Macaca fascicularis: one gene and its partner. The protein of the gene in region 1 purifies or fractionates together with the protein of each later gene. This does not show direct contact. Links are inferred from orthologs where the notes say so. Each region holds a gene or a part of one and is shown on either strand. Other genes may lie near its edges.

Region 1 (3,806 bases):
CTAGCACTTTGGGAGGCCAAGGCAGGTGGATCACCTGAGGTTGGGAATTCGAGACCAGCCTGGTCAACATGGAAAAACCCTGTTTCTATGACAAAAATTAGCTAGGCGTGGTGGTACACGCCTGTAGTCCTAGCTATTCGGGAGGCTAAGGTGGGAGAATCGCTTGAACCCGAGAGGCAGAGGTTGCGATGAGCTGAGATTGTGCAACTGCACTTCAGCCTGGGCAATCCAGCTCAAAAAAAAAAAAAAAATTCATTTGAGACCAAAACAAAAACTGATGCTTGCTCCATAGCAAGGGCCTGTGGCTGCCCCTTAGGCCAGGTGATTCTCTATGTAGACGTGCTTTCCTAGTGTTGGGAATGGACCCATCTCCTCACCCTGTACCACTGAGGCTTCTGCATCTCCTTCGGCTCACGCTGGGTGGTGAGAATCAAACAGGCACGAAGGGCGGCCACAGCTCCCTCACGGATGGCTTGTTTGGGGTCCCACACAGCCACAAAAATGTTGTCAAAGAAGGGCTGCACTTGCTGGAAGAAGAAGGTAGGGACGCTGATGGCCAGCTCACGGAGAACCAGGACCTAGAGAAAAAGACAAACCGAGAACTCTCGTCGGTACCAGTGCTTTGTTCTCTCAGGAGTACGGTCTTTTATCATCTTAGAGCCATACACACTAGGAACAGAGAAGGCTTGCTCACTCTTCCAGCTAGGAAATTCTGGGGACAGAGGAAGAAAGTAAATTTGATTAAACATCTCAGTGGTCATTATCCTAAGTTGTTTACAAACACAGAATGCTTGTAATGTTTGAATATAAGCTCTGGAAGTGCAGATGTGTTTTATGCTTTCTATATCACTATACTAATAGCATAGAACTCTACCTGGAATACTGTAGGTATGTAGTAAACAATTATTGAATGGATAATCCTGTTTAATGTTTAATCTTGTTGTTATTTTTATTTGACAGAGGAAGAAACTGAAGGTCAGAAGCTGCCCCAGGTTACAGAGTTAGGTAGGAAGTTGTAAAGCCAAGACTTGAGCCAGGGTCCAAGTGTGTGTCCTTCTCCTGGTACCATGCCCCCCCCTCACAGTAGTGCCTCCTCTGAAGGGCAGCAGACTGGAAAGCATGCGGCTGATGCTTCTGATCCCTACCACACCACTGCTAGATTCTCTCTTAAGGACGGACTCTACCCCATCTCACAGCCTGGAATCCTAGCCCTTCTAACCAGCCTTTTTCAGGGATGAGCCTCAGAAGGAAGCAAAAGACCCCACCATGACACCATCGCTCCCCAAGCCTGGCTGTGCTCCTCCCTGCAGGCACTCACAGCTGCGTGTCTCCGGCCCTCATTGCGGTCAGCACCCAGCCATTCCAGGGCTCGCTTCACCTCAAATTCCACATACTCAGCGGTGAAAGTGTCTCCTGCCATGGCAAGGCGGCCGATGGCCTTGGATGCCATTTCCATGACAACTGGGTCATTGGAGGGGAGGAGGTTCCGAAGATAGTTGGCAAATCTGCCAATTCGGGTGGCATTCCCACCTTCCACTCCTATGAGGCTGGCTGGAAAAGAGAGGAAGGCAAAAGGTGATGATGGGGCATAGGCTGACCAGGAAAGTACACAGACTTCAACTAAAAGCTGGCAAGTGCTGGCCAGGCGCAGTGGCTCAAGCCTGTAATCCTAGCACTTTGGGAGGCCAAGGTGGGCGGATTGCCTGAGCTCAGGAGTTCGAGACCAGCCTGGGCAATATGGTGAAACCCCTTCTCCACTAAAATACAACAACAACAACAAAAAATTAGTCGGGTGTGGCGGCATGCGCCTGTAGTCCCAGCTACTTGGGAAGCTGAGGCAAGAGAATTGCTTGAACCCGGGAGGCGGAGGTTGCAGTGAGCCGACATTGCGCCATTGCACTCCAGCCTGGGTGACAGAGCAAGACTCTGTCTCAGGAAAAAAAAAAAGAAAAAAAAGCTGGCAAGTGATCCCTCCATTCTACTTTGAGTACACTTCTAGAGGGCAAGGACACAATTTTTATTTTAACCCAGATATTTAATACTTATGCCAGAAATATTTACATACAGCAAAATAATCTTATGCTAGTATAATTTTCCTCCCTAGTCCCCCAAAAAGGGAAAGCAAGTGAGACTGGATAATAATTCACAGGACTGATGACCAGTCCTTAGAAGTTAAAAATGACCTGCCTGGCCAGGTGTGGTGGCTCACACCTGTAATCCCAGCACTCTGGGAGGCTGAGGTGGGCAGATCACTCGAGGTCAGGAGTTCGAGACCAGCCTGCCTAACATGGTGAAACCCTGTCTCTACTAAAAGTACAAACACTAGCCGGGCATGGTGGCAGGTGCCTGTAATCCCAGCTACTCGGGAGGCTGAGGCACGAGAATCGTTTGAACCCAGGAGGCGGAGGTTGCCACGAGCCAAGATTGCACCACTGCACTCCAGCCTGGGCAACAGAGTAAGATTCCATCTCAAAAAAAAAGAGACCTGCTTTTTATTAACTATACCGATTCCACTTTTCCATTCGTGAGCCCCACTATGCAAAACCCTGCTCTACTGAGGAACCAGAGCCCACAAAACGCAACATGAAGGAGGGAAAAGAAAGCTGGCTTCCAGTCTCAGCTCTGGTAAACTGTCTGAAAAGTCACTCAATGGTTCTGAGACTCCACCTCCACATCTAAAAATACGTTTTTCCTGTAGCCCAGGACTGCTGCTAGAATTAAAAGCCACAGGCTTCTTAAATTTCATTAAGCAAATATGAACTAGCATCCAGTAAGTGGCAGACACAGGGTGCAATGGGCACAAAGGTGAGTGTGTTGTTTTTGTGGCCAGAGACTCTGTCCTTACCTATGGCCAAGATGCCACCTTTCCTCTCATTGGCATCTGAGCTGGAAACCAATTCAAAAATGTGATGGTTCAGCTGGTCATAGAAGCGAGTAGACTCCTCTTGACTCATCTGCAAAAGAAGATATAATCAGAACAATTTCTAGTAATTCTCTGACTGTGGTGGTGGGAGTGGGCTGGCATCTAAAGATTAGATCCTGAGAGGCAGGCAGTATAGTTCAAACCAAAGAAGACAAGCTACTGCCCACTTCTACAGGATTACACTGTAGAGCACCTGAACTTGCAATCCTCTGATTATTTAACAAATATTTATTGGGTATCTACTCTGTGGCAGAAAATGTTCTGTCCTAGGTTCTTTCTAGTACCAGGGATACAAGGATAAACAAGATACTGTCTCTGACCTCAAGTCTGGTCTCTATTTAGAAAGTCCCTAGTTCTCAACTCTCCAAACCCATCCCAATCACTGTTATCAGACAGAAAGCATTTGAGGGTGTGGTATGTGGTAAGGAAAAAAGAAAAAGCTAAAAGAAACAGCTAAGTCTATTCTGGCCCCTAAAATGTGACCACAAACAAGAAAAATGCCACAGAAATGTGCAACTGCTGCAAAAGAACCTGCATGTTTTATGGATGTGAGAGGTTGAGTGCCTTTCTAAAATAATCTCTGTTTTCCAAATCCTCGCTTAGCTGTCCAAAAAAAGTCTAAACCAGTGATGATACATTTAGCCCAAACATCCCACAATGACTGGCCCCAAATCGCAGAAGCACCTCTCGGAGTTCCATGGTGACATAGTGCTGGAGCTCCTTGGCAGCTTTGGCCCTGGTCTCTTCATTCCGGCTCTTCAGGCCACTGGCAAACTGCTGTAGAACACTCACATTGCTAGATGTGGTGGCAGCGGTGGTGGCGGCGGCAGGTCCGGTTCCAAGCATCTTGCCCTGAGGTTCTTTAAAGAGAAGTTTCCTTTAA
Region 2 (4,279 bases), on another chromosome or scaffold:
CGAGAGTCGGAGCTGAACAAAGGTAAGAAATGGTGCTGGTGCCGCTCTCTGTGCTGGGAAATCCACGTGGCTTTTTCCTACAAGACTGTTCGGGCAGGTCCTCTGTCGTCCCTCATCCCCCAGCGTGCATCAGATGCCTTCCAGAGCCCATCTGATGCTGTGGGCTTCCTCCATGAGCATTCAGGTCACCAGAGCTTGTGACAGCTGTACCCTGGCTGCCTCCTGCATCAGACTGTGAATTCTCCCAAGGTCAGGGATTTGTATTCACAGGACAGGTTGGCCCTAAGCAGACAATGCAGGGTGCATCTCCTTACCGGGTGAGAAGAGCGAGGGTAGGGGGGCCGGGTCCTTGCCCTGACTCTGTCTCAAACCTGCTGTGTGACCTTGGACAGCTCACTGGCCCTCTCTGTGCCTCATTTTCTTCCCCATTAACCAGAGTGGTTGAGCCAGAGCTGCTGGGCTGTGGAAGAGGCTCCTTGGGGAGGCAGTGAGCACACTGCCACTGCAGGGATTCAGGCACAGCTGTGGTCCAGCCCACCAGGGTGAAGGGAGCAGGGAGTCTGGAGTTTGAATGAAATTTGCAGGCCCTTTATGACTCACGATCATAGATATCGGTGTTTGCTGAGCACCTATTCAGTGCTGGGATTCCACACCTGGCATCTCACCTCCCATCTGACTCACTCAGGGAGTTCAAAGCCCCGAGGGAAGTAAGAGGTTTATCCACCACTTCCCAGAAGCCACGCAACGACCCAAGATGGGATCAACCTTCTCATCCCACCCTTTCACCTACGCTATGAGGCAGGAGTTTTAGTTACAGTTCACTCCATTTTACAGTTGCAAACTCAGGCCCAGGGACAGTCAGCATCTTGAAGAGTCCGGCCCCACAACTGGAAGAGGCAGGGCTGGGACCTGGACTCTGACAGTCTAGATCCAGGGCCTGCTCTAAATCCTGACCGCCATCCTGCCTGCCTTTAGGAGGGCAGATATTATTATCTAGATGGAAAAGCGAGGCTCAGAGAGCTTAGGACACTGGCAAGAAAGCACACAGCTACACAGGGCACAAGTGGGGCTGAAACCGCTGACTGCCCAGCCTCCAAAACCCAATGAACTGGGGGGTACCCAGTGTCTCAAACACACCCCTCATGTCCTTCCTAGCTGATGGAGGAAGAAACTGAGGCTCGAAGCAAGAAGTGGCCGGTCCAAAGTCAACTGCCTGGCTGTGCTAGGCCTGGGGCTCTCACTTCCATGGGCCCGCAGCCCCTAATGACATTCGGAGAAGAAGGGGAGCGGGGGTCCCGGAGGAGGACGTCAGGATAAAACTCCCTGCCTGTACTCAATCTTGGAGGAGCCACGGGATTGAAGAGAGTGAAATAGGGTGAGTGGGTTGTGAGGGTTCCCCCAACTCAGGAGACATGAGCAAAAACGACAGGCGACTTCCACAGGCCTCTCTGCCAAGGTCCAGGGGCACCTGTAATGTTACCCAACAGGAGAGTAGCCAAGACCTGGCGGTCCTCCTTACCCTTGAGCTTCTAGAGGAGGTCCTGTTTCCTCCAAGGAGCTGAGAGATGGAGGAAGAACCCGCCCCGATGGAGAAGTTTCGTTTAAGATCAGGGAGAGATGAGACGAAAGTGAGACGTGTTCCCCACAGGAGGGGGAGCACGATGTGGCTGTCCTCTTTGGATGCGGGGAGGAGGGAAAGAGCTAAGGAGAAGAAGGGTGGAACCATCCCTCCTGTCGAAATTTTAGTGCCCCACACCCCAAGATGTGAGGAACCCGAGCATGAACGCGGTAGCCACGGGTGGGGTGAGTGCCTGGGGCCAGGCTCAGCTGCCCCGAGACCTCCCAACCTCGCCCGTGGTCCAGGGAGGACCCACTGGTCTAGGAAGAAAACAGGAAATCCCGCCCAGCCGGAGGCCAGGACCGGAAGTCCCGCCTTTGGAAGGGTGAGGGGCGCCCCGAGGCCCCCCAACCCATTCCCCGACCCCGTGGACGTGGTCCACGGCCCAAGTAGAGATCCCAGGCGCTCTGGACACCGCAAGGTGAGGCTGTCTAGGATTTGCCTCAGGTCTGACAGGACGATTCCCACAAGCGACCCCCTTCCAGCGCTCAGCAAAGGGTCGCTGGCGGACCTCTGCCCTCTGATCTGTGCAGGCCATACCCCTCCCGTGAGCCGCTCGCCCTCCCAGCGCCCCGCTGCCTCAGGACGGCCAAATCCTCCCCACACCGCGGTTCACAACGCCGCCTCCACTCACGTGCCCGTAGCCAGCATGGCCGGCCCGGCGCCGTCGCCGCCCTCAAAAGACATGGCGGCGCCTTGCGTCACGTCCGCGTAGTTGCCCCGCCTCCTCTCTGTACACTCCGCCTCCCTTATCGGGGCCGCCCGAGATCAAGATGGCGGCCACAGGGGCTTCATCCGAACCAGTGGGCAATGGCGACGGCAGCGTGCCCATAAAAAAAATGGCGAAAAAAACGCTTCAGCTTTCTCGCCTAGAGCATTTCCATTTGCCCCCAACAATAATGGCCGTCCTCATAAGCTCGCTCATGACCACAGCAAACGAAGGCAAGCGATCTGACGTCCCTGACCCACGATAAACTTCTTCGACAAAAGTGGAGGAAATCGGTGCTCGTTAACAACATGGCAGCCAACCGGTCTAATCAGCCCATAGTGTACATTGGCTCTCCCTCCCTCCAACCTGCTCCCATTCAGCACCAAAGCTGGCAAAGATCCAACACGGCAGCATTTCTTGCTTCGGTTTGCCAGGCTTCAAAATGGCGGCTCAGCCCGCTTTCTCGCGACGGTGACTCAGAAATTCGTTTGGGGCCGCTTCGTTTCTGGGGGCACTGACGGCTTCATCCCGTTATCCCGAGTCCCTCAGTGCCTCTTGTGGTGTACAGCTCCTCTCACCTCCTCTTCTCTTATCCGTTCGGCTCTTCCAGCTGTCGCGCCCCGCAGAGAGATGGGACACCCCCGTATTAACATGGCCTTAGCCGACCGGCTTAGGCCATGCCCTCGAGCAAAATGGTACCTCCTTGGCTTCAATTCCAGTATACAACATGGAGAAGGAAGTGGGCGTTTCGAGGCGTGCTTGCCCCAGGTGGTGCAGCTCTCAGACCCTCCCACTTGTTTACTTCGTGGCGAGAGGGAGAACACTGCGCCTGCGCACTCTCCGTAGCCGGCTCCACCTTCAGCGTCTGCGCCACGTGGCTCCGATCCACCCTCGAAGTTCCAGTGGAATATCCCCCTTCTGGAAAAATGGTTTCACCCACTCTTTCTCTGGAACTGGTCGGGGCGCTACCACTGTCCGGTCCGGAGGGGAACTGTTTTCTCCGGAAGTGACCACACGCTGACTCGGAAAAGGAGGAGGCGGGGCAGTGGGGCCTTCGGCGGCGACTATGGAAGGAGCCGGCTACAGGGTAAGCACTGAGGACGCATTCCCTCGCTTCAGTGTATGCGAAACGCCCCGTCTGGTGATGAGCTCTTCCCTCAGGCCTTGCGAGTGCACTTGAGAAACTCCGATCTCTTATAAACGCGCCGTCACCCTCCCGTCTACCGCCCCAGGGAAGAACCTCTCATGGCCCCGCCCCCCGGCTCAGGCGACTCCTTGGGCCCTGCCCTCTGTGGAACGCACGCCAGCATCCGAACGTGGGCTGGACCATTCTCCCCGCCTTCGTCCCTGGGCAATGGCCCTCCCGGCCCCGCCCCCTGGGGATGGCTCCTCCCTGGGCCCGTCCCTATTGGCTCCCCAGGCCGGTACCCTCGCTGGTCGCCTTCTCTTGGGCCTCAGCCCTTGCTGGTTCCCCCCAACTCAGGTGGTGTTTGAGAAGGGCGGAGTGTACCTGCACACCAGCGCTAAGAAGTATCAGGACCGAGACTCCCTCATCGCTGGTGTTATCCGTGTCGTGGAAAAGGTGCGTTGGGAGGGAGCAGGGCTCGAACCCGCTCCGAGCGGGATGCAGGCGCTCTGGGATGCAAGCGGCAACTGTAGGAGTTTGGTCTGGCGGTCAGCAGTGGGACCTGAAGAAGGCTGGGGGTGGGAACTGGAATGAGGGGCGGGACTTTGAAAGGCCGAGGGTAGAAACTGGGAAAGTTTGGAAATTTGCAACAGAAAGTTTTGGGAATGTGGTTTGGGGAGCGCCTCTAACCCCGCCTCCCTCCTTCCCCTAGGACAATGACGTCCTCCTGCACTGGGCTCCTGTAGAGGAGGCTGGAGATTCCACCCAAATCCTCTTCTCCAAGAAGGTAGGCTCCACCCGCTTTGCCCTTCTCCACTCACTTTTC

The links.
Region 2: the proteins of MTOR (region 1) and AKT1S1 purify together in Homo sapiens (affinity purification with western blotting; 8 studies listed by BioGRID and IntAct, with this or other methods). This does not show direct contact. The link is inferred for Macaca fascicularis from reciprocal best matches to the Homo sapiens genes MTOR and AKT1S1.

The regions. Positions count from the first base shown.
Region 1 is NC_088375.1:223,550,745-223,554,550, reverse strand, and holds part of MTOR (serine/threonine-protein kinase mTOR), read right to left. Parts: exon of another isoform or gene 3,784-3,806; 5' UTR 3,770-3,783; coding exon 3,608-3,769; intron 2,955-3,607; coding exon 2,846-2,954; intron 1,552-2,845; coding exon 1,319-1,551; intron 579-1,318; coding exon 378-578; intron 1-377. UniProt on the Homo sapiens protein: Serine/threonine protein kinase which is a central regulator of cellular metabolism, growth and survival in response to hormones, growth factors, nutrients, energy and stress signals.
Region 2 is NC_088393.1:57,857,718-57,861,996, forward strand, and holds the start of AKT1S1 (proline-rich AKT1 substrate 1), read right to left. Parts: upstream 3,025-4,279; 5' UTR 2,306-3,024; coding exon 2,253-2,305; exon of another isoform or gene 1-2,252. Other genes in the region: TBC1D17 (TBC1 domain family member 17), read left to right, coding at 3,394-3,414, 3,811-3,909, 4,166-4,240. UniProt on the Homo sapiens protein: Negative regulator of the mechanistic target of rapamycin complex 1 (mTORC1), an evolutionarily conserved central nutrient sensor that stimulates anabolic reactions and macromolecule biosynthesis to promote cellular biomass generation and growth.